Linked DNA regions of Ovis aries. Each later gene encodes a partner of the first gene's protein in a complex. Links are inferred from orthologs where the notes say so. Each region holds a gene or a part of one and is shown in the gene's direction. Other genes may lie near its edges. The genes, in order: MAP2K1 and KSR2.

What was found.
Region 2: the proteins of MAP2K1 (region 1) and KSR2 are in contact, whole or in part, in a crystal structure (PDB 7UMB), measured with the Homo sapiens proteins. The link is inferred for Ovis aries from reciprocal best matches to the Homo sapiens genes MAP2K1 and KSR2. Residues at the interface, in NP_002746.1 of Homo sapiens: Val81, Glu102, Met219, Ala220, Asn221, Ser222, Phe223, Val224, Gly225, Thr226, Arg227, Ser228, Met230, Arg234, Leu235, Gln236, Gly237, Met308, Ala309, Ile310, Phe311, Glu312, Leu314, Asp315, Val318, Asn319; in NP_775869.4 of Homo sapiens: Lys674, Arg818, Asp820, Lys821, Leu822, Arg823, Ile824, Gln825, Asn826, Ile837, Arg838, Gln839, Leu840, Ser841, Pro842, Gln877, Pro878, Ala879, Glu880, Ala881, Ile883, Trp884, Gln885, Gly887, Thr888, Met890.

The regions. Positions count from the first base shown.
Region 1 is NC_056060.1:13,282,726-13,286,538, forward strand, and holds part of MAP2K1 (dual specificity mitogen-activated protein kinase kinase 1), read left to right. Parts: intron 1-1,580; coding exon 1,581-1,791; intron 1,792-3,053; coding exon 3,054-3,200; intron 3,201-3,813. UniProt on the Homo sapiens protein: Dual specificity protein kinase which acts as an essential component of the MAP kinase signal transduction pathway.
Region 2 is NC_056070.1:57,629,234-57,633,046, forward strand, and holds part of KSR2 (kinase suppressor of Ras 2), read left to right. Parts: intron 1-414; coding exon 415-782; intron 783-3,813. UniProt on the Homo sapiens protein: Location-regulated scaffold connecting MEK to RAF. Has very low protein kinase activity and can phosphorylate MAP2K1 at several Ser and Thr residues with very low efficiency (in vitro).

The DNA.
Region 1 (3,813 bases):
ACTGAAGTGACTTAGCAGCAGCAGCAGCAGCAGCAGCAGCAGCAGCAGCAGCAGTAGTATATGACCTTACTTAACCTTGATTAGTTTCTAAAAATCCTCTCTCTAAACGCTGGGGGTTAAGGTTTCAACTTACGGATTTTTAGGGGACACAGTTCCGTTCATGGCACCAGCCTTCTTCCCCGCAGAGTTACCCAGTGAGGAAGACTGGGAAAATCAGCCCCCTGTCCTCTTTGGCCCCGTGTACTGTGTTATTTGTAAGGCAGTACTGCAACCTCCCATACACTGGGGAGGCATAGGGTCTCCCTCTCCTTTTTTTTTTCTCCCTCTCCTTCTTAAGGTTTGGAACATAATGTGAACGAAGAGTCGAAGATGATGCTTGCTCTTACCCTTCAAGCTCAGAGTGGTGTGCCTGTTGAGGGGAGGGGTCACCAACTTTCTGATGTATAATGACTGCCTGTCTTATCATCCATGTTGTTTGTTTAGACTAAGGACAAAAATGAAACAGTAGAAGCGCTCCTTACCACCCTTCTCTTCACAAGCTCCTGGGAGGTAATGAGCACTTTTTAGTTCTTTATGTAAAACACACTAGCAGGCTGCTCTCTGCCATACCCACTCACTCTGGCACCCACTGGTTGAATTATGTGCTTACCAAGAGATGATTTGTTCTCAAAGTCCTTTGTACAGTTATAGCTGGAATTGTAATTTATGTATTTAAATATAAGATACACTGATGAAATATGACTGCAAACGAAGTGGTTTTCTTTTTTCTCCCTCTGTGAATACTGGTTAAGAGCTGTGGAAAGATTCAGTAAGTCCAAGTCAGTAAAAAAAAAGAAAATACTGTCAAATTAGGCGAGCATTAAAATGGGAGAAAGTCATCCGACTCTTAAAGTTTTATTAAGAGTATTCTGTTGGCATTTTTACTCCACTTTAAAGAATTTGGAAATGATGGGCGCTGTGCTCTCTTCTGGTTCATGTAAGAAAGGTGATGTGGCGCTCTTACTCAGAGAAGGTGGTGAATGAATGCACTTTTATGTTTGTTGCAAAAATAAAAATTTTAGGTATATCCCATTTGCTCTGTTTTGATTCACCTTGTTCCTGGTCTGATCACATAGAGAAGAAGGGTTTCTGTTGTGATTCAGGTTAGAGCCTGTTTCGATGATGTGCTTTGGTTTCAATTTAGTGATTTTAGGAAATAGATTGTATTTTGTTTATGGTGTTGTAAAGCCACCACTCGTGGGACTTTTTGACACTGGGGTTTTAAGGCAGAGCAAGGTGGCTCACTCTGGATTTTAGTAGATTCTGTGGTTCCTCTCGTAGGCCCAGAGCCTATTGAGAGAGAACTCATTCCCTTATTTTACAAACGAGGAGACCAGGCCTTGAGACGGGAAGTGTGTCTGTGGTGAGCCGTGAGGGTGGTGGAGTGGAGGGGGCAGAGCCGCAGCGGGTGAGACCCTCCCCGAGCCGCCTCCTCCAGCTCTCCCTCTGGCCCCAGCGCTGGAGCTCTCCACAGCAGGAGCGCTCCTCCGGGTGAGGTTCTCTGATGCCAGTGTTGACCTGTGCTCCCCGCTTTGGGACAGGACCAATCTGGAGGCCTTGCAGAAGAAGCTGGAGGAGCTGGAGCTCGATGAACAGCAGCGGAAGCGCCTCGAGGCCTTTCTGACCCAGAAGCAGAAGGTGGGGGAACTGAAGGATGATGACTTTGAGAAGATCAGTGAGCTGGGTGCCGGCAATGGAGGTGTGGTGTTCAAGGTCTCCCACAAGCCGTCCGGACTCGTTATGGCCAGAAAGGTGAGGGCACTTTAAAAAAAAAAAGGGCTGAATCAAGCTTGCCTTGGTAGACAGGTAATTGGATTATCTCTTAGAAGACCTAGGGGCCTGGAGACAAGGGTGGAAAGAAAATTGACTTTTCATTCAGTACCCTTTAGTGCTTTTTGAAGTTTGAATTCATGTTATCTGTTAGATTACAGATAAACACACTCATGTTGTGTTAGTGTATTTATCCCAGTCCCCAGACTGGGAAATAATAGCAAGGGACCCTTTGTTAGCTTTCTGGGTGCTCTGGAAAGAAAGCTGAGATGCTCATTTGCCATTTTTCAAGAGCAAGGGGTGGCTCCATTTACCCAGCTCCAGGGGCACACCAAACATTGGCTTCGTGTTGTTTCTCCGAGCTCCACCCCTGCCCATGCTTCCCCTTCATCTCCCTGCAGTACGGCATCTTGGCTCCCCACCCTGGCATGCAGCCCTTGAGCTGGACTTCCCGCCCTGGTGAGCCTGAGTCCTCCTCTTTCCGGACAGCAGATTTGGACTCTTCCATGTTTTGCAGCACACCATGTTCATTTCTGTCCACGTATTTTTGCTCATGCTGTTTCTTCCATCTTTTCAAACACTTCCCATCTTCAAGGCCCACCTCCTGTCTAGCTTTCACCAGCGCCCACGCTGATAACCGCTGCTTCCGTGTCTTCTGACACTCATTGTCCATGGCTCTTTTTAGAAGCTCAGCCTTATTCGGTAACCATTTCATGTTTTTGTCACCTGTCTCCTCAGCTGAAACAAGGCACAGCATGGCGGGGCGGAGATAAGGAGGTCCCCTGGGCCTTGGCTAAATCCCAACCACATCAGGCTCCTAAGGTCAAGGGGAAGTATCCTGGGCAGCTTAGATTGGCAGACCCAGTTCCTCATACCTTTCTGGTCCTGCAGCCCTTGGGTATCAACCAAGCCTCTAAGGCCACTTGCCCTCATCTCTCAGCTTCCCAGGTCCTTTTGTTCTTGGGAGCGAAAGGGCCCCTCTTCTTCAGTCTTGGGTCCTGGGAGCGGAGGCACAGCTGTCCCTCCCCTGGGTACAGCCCCTCCAGTGCCAACACCTGCCTTGGTATGTTGGCACTCAGTATTCTAGCTGGCCAGTAACCTGTTTGCTGAAACTTGCCTGTTTCCTCTCTTCCTACGTCTAAGAGCTTAAGCATTTAAGAAAACTTCTGTCTGTCCACCCACCCACCCCTCCATCCATCCATATATGTTTAAAGCTTCTCTTCCTTGGACCTTTTTTTCCTCAGCTAATTCACCTGGAGATCAAACCTGCCATCCGGAACCAGATCATAAGGGAGCTGCAGGTTCTCCATGAGTGCAACTCGCCGTACATCGTGGGCTTCTACGGGGCCTTCTACAGCGACGGCGAGATCAGCATCTGCATGGAGCACATGGTATGTGGCAGCCTGGCCGCCTCTGAAGAGCGGCCTGGGAAGCTGGGGGCTCCGGTCTGACCTTTGCTCTGAGATGTGACCTGAACGATTGCTTCCTTGTTCCTCCCTGGATCCAGATCACTGTCTGGGGCATTTAGGAAACCTGACTGTAGAAGTTGGATTAACCAAGAAAATGACAGGCCTCCTTCCTAAGTCCCTGTCTCTTCAGAGAGGTGGCAGCAACCAGGTGTCCCTAGGTTGTACTTGGAGCACATCTCTCAGTTTTCTTGATCCCAAGATTTTGATGTGGGTAAAGCCTGGTTAATGTAGTTTAAACCCATATGTTACATGCCATGCTGTGTACTAGGTACACGGTTCATGGGTTATGAAGATGAGTGAAGAGTGGGTGAGGCCCTGCTTTCAGAGAGTTTATCACTTGCTATAAGAGCAGGGTTAGCAAAATTAATACTGATGAACTAATAGTTATTGGGTATATATCATATTAAGCGCCATCCTAAGCAAATTAATATTATATTTCTACAAACACCTTATTGAGCTGGGTACATTATCTGCATTTTACAAGTGAGGAAACTGAGGCACAGAGAAATGGAATAACCAAATCAAGGTCAGGCAA
Region 2 (3,813 bases), on another chromosome or scaffold:
TATAAATAACCAGACAAGTCAGAACTTCATGGTCTAGTAGGAGGGCATCGAATATTAGGAGTCGGGAGACCTGATTCTTAACCCTTGCTCTGCCTGGCGGCCTGACCAGAGCTAGGCACTTCCCACAGGGACCAACCATCCCTGTCTGCCGGTTTCCCAAGTGTGAGACTGTCAGTCCCCAAATGGGCAAAGTCCTGGGAAACCAGGATAGGTGGTCCCTGCCCCCCAGCATTTCCTGTCTCTGAGCTTCAGTTTCATGATCTGCCTTTCAGCATCTTCACTTCAGCACAATGATAGACAGGAGGTACCTGGGCAAATAGAGACACGTGTGCACCAGCGGGCAACACACAGCGGGGACCTGGCGGGCAGGCGGGATGCTGACGGGAACTGACCCCTCTCCCGCTCTGGCCGTAGAATGAGGAGGGCCACGACGAGGCCGAGGAGTCGGAGGACGACTTTGAGGAGATGAACCTGTCCCTCCTCTCGGCCCGGAGCTTCCCACGCAAGGCCAGCCAGACTAGCATCTTCCTCCAGGAGTGGGACATCCCCTTCGAGCAGCTGGAAATTGGCGAGCTCATTGGGAAGGGCCGCTTCGGGCAGGTGTACCACGGCCGCTGGCATGGTGAGGTGGCCATCCGGCTGATTGACATCGAGAGGGACAACGAGGAGCAGCTCAAGGCCTTCAAGCGGGAGGTGATGGCCTACAGGCAGACGCGGCATGAGAACGTGGTGCTGTTCATGGGCGCCTGCATGAGCCCGCCCCACCTGGCCATCATCACCAGGTCAGTCCCGCCCGGGTTCCCCACCACCATAGTCATTCCCAAAGCTCTGCTTCCGGCAGTGTTGAGCAGCGGGGGTTCTGGTAGATTCAACATTCTGGTAAATAGAGAGTCTGGCTTTACCAATCACAACATCTATGGTTTGAAGCTTTGAAATTCCAGAAAATGCTTTTTGTGCTATAACTCTGGTTGAGAAGTGCTCTGGAGAGAGCTCCCTGTGGGAAGTCAGAAAAGCTGGTATTGAACCCCCTTGTGCTCCACATTTGTGAAAAAGCATCTTTGAGGCTCACTTTCTCCAAATGTAATTGAATGGATTAGACTAACTCGGGTGTCAGCTAACTTTTCCTGTAAAGGACCTGATAGTGTTTTTGGCCTTGCAGGCCATAAGGTTTCTGCAGCAACAGCTCATCTCTGCTACTATAGTGTGAAAACAACCTCAGATAAACTATAAGTGGATGTCTGTGGCTGTGTGCCAATAAAACTTTATTAACACAACCAGGCGATGGGCTGGGTTTCACCTGCAGACCCTAGTTTGTTGAACCCGGATCAACATTCTGATGACTTATTCTGGCTTTCATTAAAACAGCAGAGCACATTTGTAGGGCTCCACCATTGTTGTTTTAAATATTCAGGATCCATGGTCTATAGCTATATAAAAGGGGTGGTTAACAGAGAAGTGACATTAGGAACATATCAGATGTTGGGAACTTTTTTGGACTTGCTGTCTCTAACCTCACACAGCAATGTAGGCATTGGAAAAAAATAACTGTAGCTTCAGTTGAGCAGTTGTGGAACAATCTTTTGATGTGTTTTTAAGCTGAGACCTTTGCTCTCCTATCACTTAGGACTAGCTACAGCATCAGTGTTCTTGGTGTGGCCTGTGATGCCAAGGGTCCATTAGGAGTCTTCTCATTCTTAATCTCAATACAAGCAGTAAGATCCCAAGTACGCAAGCCTTGCATCTTGGCAAGTGCTATGGTGGGAGCTGTGAGCTCAGGGAAGATCGGGTATGTCTTTGATCTATTCCCTTGTGATCCATACAAACCCTCTTTGAGTCCGTTTGTAAGACCTGGGTGATGGGTAGAAGCTGTGTTATCATCTGTCACCATTGATTATGCAGCTGGTGGGTTGACTGGAACTTGTGTGTCAAAAGGTAAGTGCTTGCAAAGGATTAGAGATCTAAGGATGGCCCTTCAACCCTTCTTTAAACCAAGGTAGAAATTGGCAGCTCTCACTTCTACACATTCAGGTATGACCTAAGTCAAATCCCTTATGATTATACAGTGGAAGTGAGAAATAGATTTAAGGGACTAGATCTGATAGACGGAGTGCCTGATGAACTATGGACAGAGGTTCGTGACATTGTACAGGGGACGAGGATCAAGACAATCCCCATGGAAATAAATGCAAAAAAGCAAAATGGCTGTGTGAGGAGGCCTTACAAATAGCTGTGAAAAGAAGAGAAGTGAAAAGCAAAGGAGAAAAGGAAAGATATAAGCATCTGAATGCAGAGTTCCAAAGAATAACAAGGAGGGATAAGAAAGCCTTCCTCAGCCATCAATGCAAAGCAATAGAAGAAAACAACAGAATGGGAAAGACTAGAAATCTCTTCAAGAAAATTAGAGATACCAAAGGAACATTTCATGCAAAGATGGGCTCGATAAAGGACAGAAATGGTCTGGACCTAACAGAAGCAGAAGATAGAAGAGGTGACAAGAATATACAGAAGAACTGTACAAAAAAGATCTTCATGACCCAGATAACCATAATGGTGTGATCACTCACCTAGAGCCAGACATCCTGGAATGTGAAGTCAAGTGGGCCTTAGAAAGCATCACTACGAACAAAGCTAGTGGAGGTGATGGAATTCCAGTTGAGCTCTTTCAAATCCTGAAAGATGATGCTGTGAAAATGCTGCACTCAATATGCCAGCAAATTTGGAAAACTCAGCAGTGGCTGCAGGACTGGAAAAAGTCAGTTTTCATTCCAATCCCAAAGAAAGGCAATGCCAAAGAATGTTCAAACTACCACACAATTGCACTCATCTCACGCACTAGTAAAGTAATGCTCAAAATTCTCCAAGCCAGGCTTAAGCAGTATATGAACCATGAACTTCCAGATGTTCAAGCTGGATTTAGAAAAGGCAGAGGAACCAGAGATCAAATTGCCAACATCCACTGGATTATTGAAAAAGCAAGAGAGTTCCAAAAAAAACATCTATTTCTGCTTTCTTGACTATGCCAAAGCCTTTGACCGTGTGGATCACAATAGACTGTGGAAAATTCTGAAAGAGATGGGAATACCAGACCACCTGACCTGCCTCTTGAGAAACCTATATGCAGGTCAGGAAGCAACAGTTAGAACTGGACATGAAACAGCAGACTGGTTCCAAATAGGAAAAGGAGTACATCAAGGCTGTATATTCTCACCCTGCTTATTTGACTTCTATGCAGAGTACATCATAAGAAACGCTGGGCTGGAAGAAGCACAAGCTGGAATCCAGATTGCCGGGAGAATATCAATTACCTCAAATATGCAGATGACACCACCCTTATGGCAGAAAGTGAAGAGGAACTAAAAAGCCTCTTGATGAAAATGAAAGAGGAGAGTGAAAAAGTTGGCTTAAAGCTCAACATTCAGAAAACGAAGATCATGGCATCTGGTCCCATCACTTCATGGCAAATAGATGGGAAACAGTGGAAACAGTGGCAGACTTTATTTTTGAGGGGCTCCAAAATCACTGCAGATGGTGACTGCAGCCATGAAATTAAAAGACGCTTACTCCTTGGAAGAAAAGTTATGACCAACCTAGATAGTATATTGAAAAGCAGAGATATTACTTTGCCAACAAAGATCCATCTAGTCAAGGTTAGGGTTTTTCCAGTGGTCATGTATGGATGTGAGAGTTGGACTGTGAAGAAAGCTGAGTGCCGAAGAATTGATGCTTTTGAACTGTGGTGTTGGAGAAGACTCTTGAGAGTCCCTTGGACTGCAAGGAGATCCAATCAGTCCATCCTAAAGGAGACCAGTCTTG